Linked DNA regions of Callithrix jacchus. The protein of the gene in region 1 binds, or shares a complex with, the protein of each later gene. Links are inferred from orthologs where the notes say so. Each region holds a gene or a part of one and is shown in the gene's direction. Other genes may lie near its edges.

Region 1 (2,318 bases):
TTCTTCACAGATAATGTGCCTGCTTTGGTCCAGGGCTTCCATGCTGCTCCCCAAGGTGAGGAGTCTGAAAGAAAGGCCCCACACATACACACCTCTCCTTTGCTTGTCCACATTACCCGATAACTTAGGACCTGCTTGCTTCTTTAGAGCTATATTGTGGTCTGTGCCTAGGAGACTGAACTTCTAGATTCTTGTCCCACTTCTTCCTTTGTGGGTGTATCTTGTTTATTCTAAACATGAAGGGCTTTTCACCCCTTTGTAGGCTGATGTCTCAACCTCATCACAGATCGGAATTGAATTCTCAAGCTATGTATCTAAGCCCAATTTCTCTCCTAAGCTTTCCCATTTTTTTACAGGTGTGAAGCCAAACTACTTGAAGGGTCTTTCTCATGTACTTAACAGGCTGCCCAAGCCTGTGCTCTTGCCAGAGCTGCCCACAGTAAGTCCTGCAGGTAGAACCTCTAAGCGAAGGACAATTCTTTCCCAGATGGGGCTAGAAAGGGAGGGTACAAGAACCAGGATCTGCATGATGTGGCCATCCCACACCTTGCCCATTGCCCCTTAGCTTCTTTCCTTGCTGCTGGAGGCCCTGTCCTGCCCTGACTGTGTGGTACAGCTCTCTACCCTCAGCTGCCTTCAGCCTCTTCTACTGGAAGCACCCCAAGTCATGAGTCTTCACGTGGACACTCTCGTCACCAAGTTTCTGAACCTCACCTCTAGCCCTTCCATGGTATGTTGAGCCCCAGCAACTCTCAGGAACCAGCAGCTCTCCCTGGGTCTGCTCTCACCTCCTTGTGGTTGTGTTCCAGGCCGTCCGGATCGCCGCACTGCAGTGCATGCATGCTCTCACTCGCTTGCCCACCCCTGTGGTAAGTACCTCAGGTGCCCCTCTCTGGCCTGGGACCGTCTCAAGAGACAGATAAATACCTTTTTGCCTTAGTCGAGTGGGCTTGGCTGTTTCAATTACACCCTGCTGTGTAATTGAGATCTGAATTACAAGGTACAGATAAGCAAGGATTCTTTTCCTTGGGCCCAGAAGGTAACAGAATGGCCATCCCTTGGAATCACTAAAGATGTTTCAGTTTCCTCAGAATATTAGTTGTACAGAATCAAAAAAGGGGCACTTTCAGTTGCCTTGGATGAGCAAGGTTGATTATATCCTCTGACTCCACAGCTGCTGCCATACAAACCACAGGTGATCCGAGCCTTAGCCAAACCCTTGGATGACAAGAAGAGACTGGTGCGCAAGGAAGCAGTGTCAGCCAGAGGGGAGTGGTGAGTTTCTAGGCCATGGGGAGAAATGGGACCGAGATGAGCCTTACCACTAATGCTGCCAACTTTCTTTTTGCCTACAGGTTTCTGTTGGGGAGCCCTGGCAGCTGAGCTGTCAGTCCTGGCCTAGACTGTTCTGACAATCTAACCTGGAATTACTAACTATGGAGCCATCATCCCCAAAGCAGGGAAACTGCTGGCCTCTGCCTGCCTTTCCTACAGACACAGCACAAATGCTAGGCTTCTGTTGCATGGAGCATAAGGTCCAGATTTCTAGTGGATTTGTGCATTAACTGTGAGACACTTGTGTTTGAAGAAAGATCTAGGGTCTTGGGTCTCTTGCATTTGTATGTCAGAGAAGGGGTAATATGCTGCTGAGGGGTGAGTGCATATGACTGTGGCCCTGAGGACCAGGGGTGGTGGCTGTGTGTGCACCTGCTGAAGAATAAAGATGTCTTTTGGTAATGGGACTGTCAGACATTTCCCCCACCCAACATATGCCTCGTAGAACCAGAGGCATTACTAAACTAAGCTGGAAGAACAATGATGACAGGGACTGGCCAAAAATTTTTCAGGGTAACCAACAAAGTAGCTCATGCCTGTAACCCCAACACTTTAGGAGACTGAAGCAGGAGGATTGCTTGAGGCAGGGAGTTTGAGACTGGTCCTGGGCAATATAGCAAGAACCCATCTCCACAAATAATTTAAAAAATTCGGCTGGGCATGGTGGCTTACGCCTGTAATCCCAGCATTTTGGGAGGCCAAGGGGGGTGGATCACTGGAGGTCAGGAGTTCAATACTGGGCAACTTGGTTAAACCCCATGTCTACTAAAAATGCAAAAATTAACCAGGTGTGGTGGCACACGCCTTTACTTGGGAGGCTGAGGCACAAGAATCGCTTCAACCTGGGAGGCGGAGGTTGCAGTGAGTTGAGATCATGCCAAAGTGTAAGAGGCATGACCAGAATACCTACTCACTAGGTCTTGACACTGATTTTCCCCTTCCCCACCCTATTGTGAGGCAGAGTGAGGAGCTACATACCTTTA
Region 2 (3,043 bases), on another chromosome or scaffold:
TCTGGCCATAGTGTGTAAGGTAGATCAGCAAGAATGGGGACAGGAATGGAGATGTGGACTCATAATCAGTTGAAGATGAGGGTGAGGGAAGGTAAGTTAGATTCTCCTCTGAGGCGCCTAGGACATAGGAATGTCTTAAGTGTAAGCGAAGTCTGTCTTGCAGGGGTGGCATGCAGCGGCTCTGACCCCAGTTGGAAATGTGTCTGTACTTTGTCGGGCTTCCACTCAAGGACGATTTATGACATTGCTTGGTAAGACTCTATCCCCTACCCCCATTCCATCCCCATAAAGCAGAGATTTCAGAGAAGGCATGACCCATGCAGCCCTCTGCAACCTTGGGTGGTGCTTGGGAATTGAGGGCAGCCATCCCCATTCCTTATCAGCCCTGACTCTACCATGCTGGCTTACAGCTGCTTGGGCTGGTATTCACGGGAGCAAGAAACAATTCCATGCTGTGAGGACAGCACCAGTGCTCAGGGTTCACACAGTTTGTGCTGTACAGAAGTTATTATTGAATCTGCATTCATGGCTGGAGTTTTTATGGCTTGGTAACACTGACTCTGTCCTTTGGAAGCTGGGAAAGCTGCATCATTCATATAGGAGAGTAGGTCAGAGCTTAGTTCTGGCCCTGAGAATTGATCCCTAGGAAATAATCCAGAACAGTGAAAAAAAAACTGATAAGCACTTAAGCTTGCTTTATATTAGCATTTGGGAATCACCTATTCAACAAAAGTGAATTTAAGTAAATTATGGTAGAACTCAGCTTGTTATATCACTGTTTAAAGAAAGGGGTTAAGAGGCCGGGCATTGTGGCTCATGCCTGTAATCCCAGCATTTTGGGAGGCCGAGGTGGGTGGATCACCTGAGGTAGGGAGCTCGAGACCAGCCTGACCAACATGGAGAAACCCTGTCTTTAAAAACAGAAAAGAAAGGGGTTAAAAATACTTTATTTTGGTTGAGCAAAGTGGCTCATGCCTTTAATCCCAGCACTTCGGGAGTCTAAGGCGGGTGGATCACTTGAGGTCGGGAGTTCGAGACTAGCCTGGCCAACATGGTGAAACCCTGTCTGTACTGAAAATACAAAAATTAGCGGGGCATGGTGGCACACACCTGTAGTCCCAGCTACTGGGGAGACTGAGGCAGGAAAATCACTTGAACCTGGGAAGTGGAGGTTGCAGTGAGCAGAGATCGTGCCACTGCACTCTAGCCTGGGTGACAAGGCAAGACTCCATCTCAAAAAAAACAAACAAACAAAAAAAACTTTATGACATGGGAAACTGCTTATGCCAAGTGAGAAAAGTGCAGTTCATAACTGCATGTAGTTTTTTAGGGTAATCATAGTGGGGGAAAAAACTAGATGGCAGCATCTGAAGATGTAAGTGGGTAATATTTGTGACTCCTTATTACTTAGGGAAACATTTCAAGAGGAGGTTTTTAGCTGAGGCCTAAAGTTAGGAAAGAGAACAGGCCAGGAACTATGGAACAAGTCATAGTAGGTATGACCTAATCAGTCAGGTATACCCACTGATGTCACTTTCCTTCCAGGTGTCAGCTGACAGGGGCCTTGGCTACAGCTTGTGGGGATGATGCAATTCGTGTGTTTGAGGAGGATCCCAACTCAGATCCACAGCAGCCCACCTTCTCCCTGACAGCCCACTTGCATCAGGCCCATTCCCAAGATGTCAACTGTGTGGCCTGGAACCCCAAGGAGCCAGGGCTGCTGGCCTCCTGCAGTGATGATGGGGAGGTGGCCTTCTGGAAGTATCAGCGGCCTGAAGGCCTCTGAGCTACCTCAACTTTGGACAGCATAATGACTCCCAGAAAATGTCATGAGACTTTGCCAGCCCCTGAGAAGACCAGGAGGAGCATCCTTGACCTTCATTTAAAATGGCTCACTTCTATTTAGACTTGGGTGGAAGTATGGAGCCACAGAACTGCTCTCCTTCCCCGCCTTTGTCATGAGGCCCTCAGTAAAGAGCTACAGAACATCAGTACATTGTTATACCACCGATTTTTCTTGCATTAGGGCACAGTGTTAAATTTTTTGGGGGTAAATATACTATTTATAATCACTATGTATAGTAGGAGGGGGTATATGTCTCAGGCCTTTCTGAAGTTGTAAGACAAATAATCCATCTGCGTCCCGAGCCCTATTCATAAGGATATTCATAAAAGAATTCCATGGTGAATCCTTGTCTGAAATAGATCCTGCCTTCCCAGTTTCTGGGTAAATCTTTGCATTTAAGACATCCAATCAATATTGAAGGAAATTTTTTTCTGAATGTAGATTTGAGAGAGGGGCATCTCTGCTTTCCCTCAGAAACCCTCATATACCTCCTGCACTGTTACGCTGTGATGGCAACAGAGTAGGAAAAAAAGGAGAAGACAGGAACCCTAAAAGGGAGGGTTATTACTGGACAGAGGCCCTATATTTTCAACAGGGATGCAAATTGCTTCTTCAGTAGAAATAAAAAGTAGTTTCTGGTCCTCCACAAACATACAGTGTGGTTGTGGTATTTCATTTTCATGGCAGTGAGTGAGCAGGAAGAAGGCTCCTTAGGGGAATGGTGACAAAAACCAGTTGAGAAACACTGGCTTTGGCAGTCGGTGTTCAGGGTTGCGCTAAGGTTGTCTCGACAGTCACTTCTAAATAGGTTCTAATGTGACAATGGTCTCCAAAACTACAGCCCTCACTTAAGTTTAAGCTGTGACCTTAGATTTTAGAAAGACAGTGGTGTGGTACCTAGAGTAGTGGTTCTCAAGAGTATGTGGTCTCTAGATCCTGGGAGTCCCAAGACCCTTTGAGGGAGGATCTGTGAGGTCAACTGTTGGCACTGCAGCATGAACCAAGGTGGTGGCAGCAAACTTCTAGTAGTTTTGACACATCCTTGATAAATAACAGTGGCTAACTGTATTAAATGTTGACCTAGCTGGGCGCGGTGGCTCATGCCTGTAATCCCAGCACTCTGGGAGGCCAAGGTGGGCAGATCTCCTGAGGTCGGGAGTTCAAGACCAGCCTGACCAACATGGAGAAACCCTGTCT
Region 3 (3,659 bases), on another chromosome or scaffold:
CCCAGGAGGTAGAGGTTGCAGTGAGCCGAGGTCGCACCGCTATACTCTATCCTGAGTGACAGAATGAGACTCCATCTCAAAAAAAAAAAGGGCCAGGCACAGTGGCTCATGCCTATAATCCCAGCACTTTGGAAGGCTAAGGTATGTGGATTATGAGGTTAGGAGATCAAGACCCTCCGGCCAGCATGGTGATACCTCATCTCTACTAAAATACAAAAAAAAATTAGCCAGGTGTGGTTGTACATGCCTATAGTCCCACCTATTCAGTAGGCTGAAGCAGGGGAATTGCTTGAACCTGGGAGGCGGAGATTGCAGTGAGCCGAGATCCTGCCATTGTGCTCCAGCTTGGTGAACACAGCAAGACTCCTGGTTTTGGACCCTCATTCCCTAGATGTTTGATTCACTGTATATTCCACTTCACTCTCTCATCTTAGAATGCTCTAACGTTTTTTCTTTGACTTTCTTTTTTCCCTTTCTAGTTGGAAATCTACATTTCTGAAGGAACGCACTCAACAGAAGAAGACAGTAAGTGAATGTTTAAACTAATGGAAAAACACTTCAGATAGTATTTTTTCTTGGATACTGGATTCTTCTACCAGCCAAGTATCTACTGGGTTACTTTCAAAAAAAGTACGCAATTAGTTATTAGCTCTTCTTTCCTAGGTAGGAAAACCTAGGCATTTCAGGGAAGTAATTTTTACAGTGGGACTCTAAGTGCATTAGAGCTCATGGATGTTGACTAGTTTAGGCCAGTGGCTACACATCTGTAAAGAATATCCAGCTCTAGGGACCTTGACTTATGAGCTCTAAGTAGGCTGCTTTTCTTTGGTGGCAGGATAAGAGAGCTGTGTACTTGAAATTGGGTCTAGCAAGTAGAGCTGTAGTGAGTCTTGTGGTAGATGCTGTCTCTCTGGGTTAGTATATTAGAATGGGGGTGGGGAAACTTTTTATATACAGAACCTCTGACCTACAGAGAGAAGTCACTGTAGTGACTTCTAATGGCCAAAGTGGGGTTTGGGAAAAGCAAAAGGCAGAATGTTCTGTATGATCCATGTGTTACCTTAAAAACAGAATTTTAATGTTTTTAATCTACAAATGATAGAGTGTAAGTAATGAGAAATACATTTAAAGGGTGTTTGTACTTGTTTCATCAGAGGAGTGGAAGAAAGAGATGATTGATAATGGAGTGAGAGAAACAGTCAGATAGATACCCAGAAGACTCAGAAAGCCATACCCAGGGCTGGAGAAAGACACACAAAATCTCCTACATAGAAGAGAGCTGTAGAGAGGGAAGCAGGGAACCCTGTTGCTTCCAGAGGAATAGCCCATCCAGGAAACTTTTTAGGTTACTGTCATGAAAACTATTAAAATCATGTCCTAGCTATAGTTTCAGGCATGTAGATTATTATACTCTTTGTGGGCTAAATTTCTTTTCTTTTTTTTGAGACCAAGTCTTGCTCTGTTGCCCAGGCTGGAGTGCACTGACATGATGTCACCTCATTGCAACTGCAACCTCCACCTTCTGGGTTCAAGCAATTCTCCTGCCTTAGCCTCCCAAGTAGCTGGGACTACAGGCATGCACCACCACATCCAGCTAATTTTTGTATTTTTAGTTGAGATGGGGTTTCACCCGTGTTGGCCAGGCTGGTCTCGAACTCCTGACCTCGTGATCCGCCCACCTCAGCCTCCCAAAGTGCTGGGATTACAGGCATGGACCACCACACAATGGGCTAAATTTCTTTAAACCCCATGTGCTGAGGGCTTCTACCTCTGATTAAAAAAATAAGAGTTTAGGTACCCTAAATCCACTCAGGCTATCCTTTTGAAATTCCTCAAATGATAGGTTTTTACAACAGCAATAGTATTAAGTCTTATGATTCTTGTTTTTCGTTTAGTAAATATTTACTAAGAGCCTTCTATGTGAGGGTACAGTTCAACTTTTGAGATGTATTCCTGCCTTTGTGGAGCCTACATTGTAGTAAGAAGAAACTGAATTGAAATTATTTACACAGGAATATGTGTATGTGTGTTTGTCTTCTATATGAGACATTTTAGCAGCATCCCAGAAAAGTCAATCCACATTAAGAATATGGGTGTCTCTCTTTTGAACTCTTCTGTTAAGAGTGCTGTTAGCTAATTGTAGAAAACATAATGGATCAATACCTTTATTATATGAAGATTCATTCAAACTAACTTTTAAAAAAGATCTGGTAGATTAATAGAAAGAAACATGAACAGGAAATTCATGCAAGAACTAATATATACACATTGAAAATGTTCTGTTTTCCTATTAGACAAGGAAATGCAAATTATAGCAATAATATTGAACCATTTACCACCTCCTATTTTATGTATGTTTATATGCATATTAGTTTTTATTAAATAATAGCAGCTATTGCCTGGGCATGGTGGTTCACACCTATAACCCTAGCACTTTGGGAGGCCAACGCAAGAGAATGCCTTGAGGCCAGGAGTTTGAGGCTGGGATTTCAAGACTAGCCTGGACAACATAGTGAGACCCTGTCTCTACAAAAAAATTTGAAAATTAGCCAGGTGTGATGGCTCATGCCTGTGGGAGGCTGAGGCAGGAGGATTTCTTGAGCCCAGGAGTTGGAGGTTACAGGGAGCTATGATTGTACCACTGTCTCAAAGAAGAATAATAGTAATAGCAGGTATTGCTGCCAAACTGATAGCTCATGTATTGATGTTGACAATGTAAATTGGTGAGTAATTTTGGGAAGTAAATCAATGATATAAATCAAACCATAAAAATATTCATATTCTTGGGCAGGCCATGGTGGCTTACGTCTGTAGTCCCAGCACTTCGGGAGGCCAAGGCAGGTGAATCAAGAGGTCAGGAGTTTGAGACCCGCCTGGTCAATATGGTGAAACCTCGTCTCTACTAAAAAATACAAAAATTAGCTGGGTGTGGTGGTGTGTGCCTGTGGTTCCAGCTACTCAGGAGGCTGAAGCAGGAGAATCACTTGAACCTGGGAGGTGGAGGTTATAGTGAGCTGAGATCGTGCCACTGCACTCCAGCCTAGGCAACAGAGTGAGACTCCATCTCAAAAAAAAAAAAAAAAAAAAAAATCCCATTTTTGAGAATATTTCCAAAAAGAAGGCTATATGTTTAAAGGTGTTCATCGTAGCATAGTCTTCATAATTAGTTTAGAACACTTAAGACTTTTACCATGTTAAATAACCCTGTAGATTAAAATATAGGCTTATGGGGAAAAAAACCAGCAATTTTCAAAATTGTATTTACTCTGAATGTAACTGTATAAAGATATGTATATGGACAAAGACTAGAAAGAAAAAAATAGATGTGGTAAGTAGTAGAATTATAGTGTCTACTATAATTTTTCTCTTAAATCTGCCTTCTAGGTGAGAAATTATATTATGAGTATAATTATGAGTATAATTAGCCAAAAATGACTTCAAGTTCTCAAGCAGTTCAGTTTTTTGTTTCAGCAGGCTAATAAAAAATACTGTCTGGCACTGTATGTTGACACAGTTCTTCTGCTAACTTTTGTCTGTGTATTTTTCAGTCAATAAGCAGATAAATGACAAAGAACGAGTGGCAGCTGCAATGGAAAACCCCAATTTACGGGAAATTGTGGAACAGTGTGTCCTTGAACCTGACTGATGGCTGCTTTAAG

Evidence for each region.
Region 2: MMS19 (region 1) and CIAO1 share a complex: the UniProt entries of both Homo sapiens proteins name them as parts of the MMXD complex. The link is inferred for Callithrix jacchus from reciprocal best matches to the Homo sapiens genes MMS19 and CIAO1.
Region 3: MMS19 (region 1) and CIAO2A share a complex: the UniProt entries of both Homo sapiens proteins name them as parts of the CIA complex. The link is inferred for Callithrix jacchus from reciprocal best matches to the Homo sapiens genes MMS19 and CIAO2A.

What each region holds. Positions count from the first base shown.
Region 1 is NC_133513.1:90,279,850-90,282,167, reverse strand, and holds the end of MMS19 (MMS19 nucleotide excision repair protein homolog), read left to right. Parts: coding exon 1-55; intron 56-356; coding exon 357-439; intron 440-565; coding exon 566-730; intron 731-809; coding exon 810-869; intron 870-1,174; coding exon 1,175-1,275; intron 1,276-1,355; coding exon 1,356-1,383; 3' UTR 1,384-1,737; downstream 1,738-2,318. UniProt on the Homo sapiens protein: Key component of the cytosolic iron-sulfur protein assembly (CIA) complex, a multiprotein complex that mediates the incorporation of iron-sulfur cluster into apoproteins specifically involved in DNA metabolism and genomic integrity.
Region 2 is NC_133515.1:6,115,643-6,118,685, forward strand, and holds the end of CIAO1 (putative cytosolic iron-sulfur protein assembly protein CIAO1), read left to right. Parts: intron 1-163; coding exon 164-251; intron 252-1,545; coding exon 1,546-1,786; 3' UTR 1,787-2,496; downstream 2,497-3,043. UniProt on the Homo sapiens protein: Key component of the cytosolic iron-sulfur protein assembly (CIA) complex, a multiprotein complex that mediates the incorporation of iron-sulfur cluster into extramitochondrial Fe/S proteins.
Region 3 is NC_133509.1:10,883,128-10,886,786, reverse strand, and holds part of CIAO2A (cytosolic iron-sulfur assembly component 2A), read left to right. Parts: intron 1-479; coding exon 480-525; intron 526-3,548; coding exon 3,549-3,646; 3' UTR 3,647-3,659. UniProt on the Homo sapiens protein: Component of the cytosolic iron-sulfur protein assembly (CIA) complex, a multiprotein complex that mediates the incorporation of iron-sulfur cluster into extramitochondrial Fe/S proteins.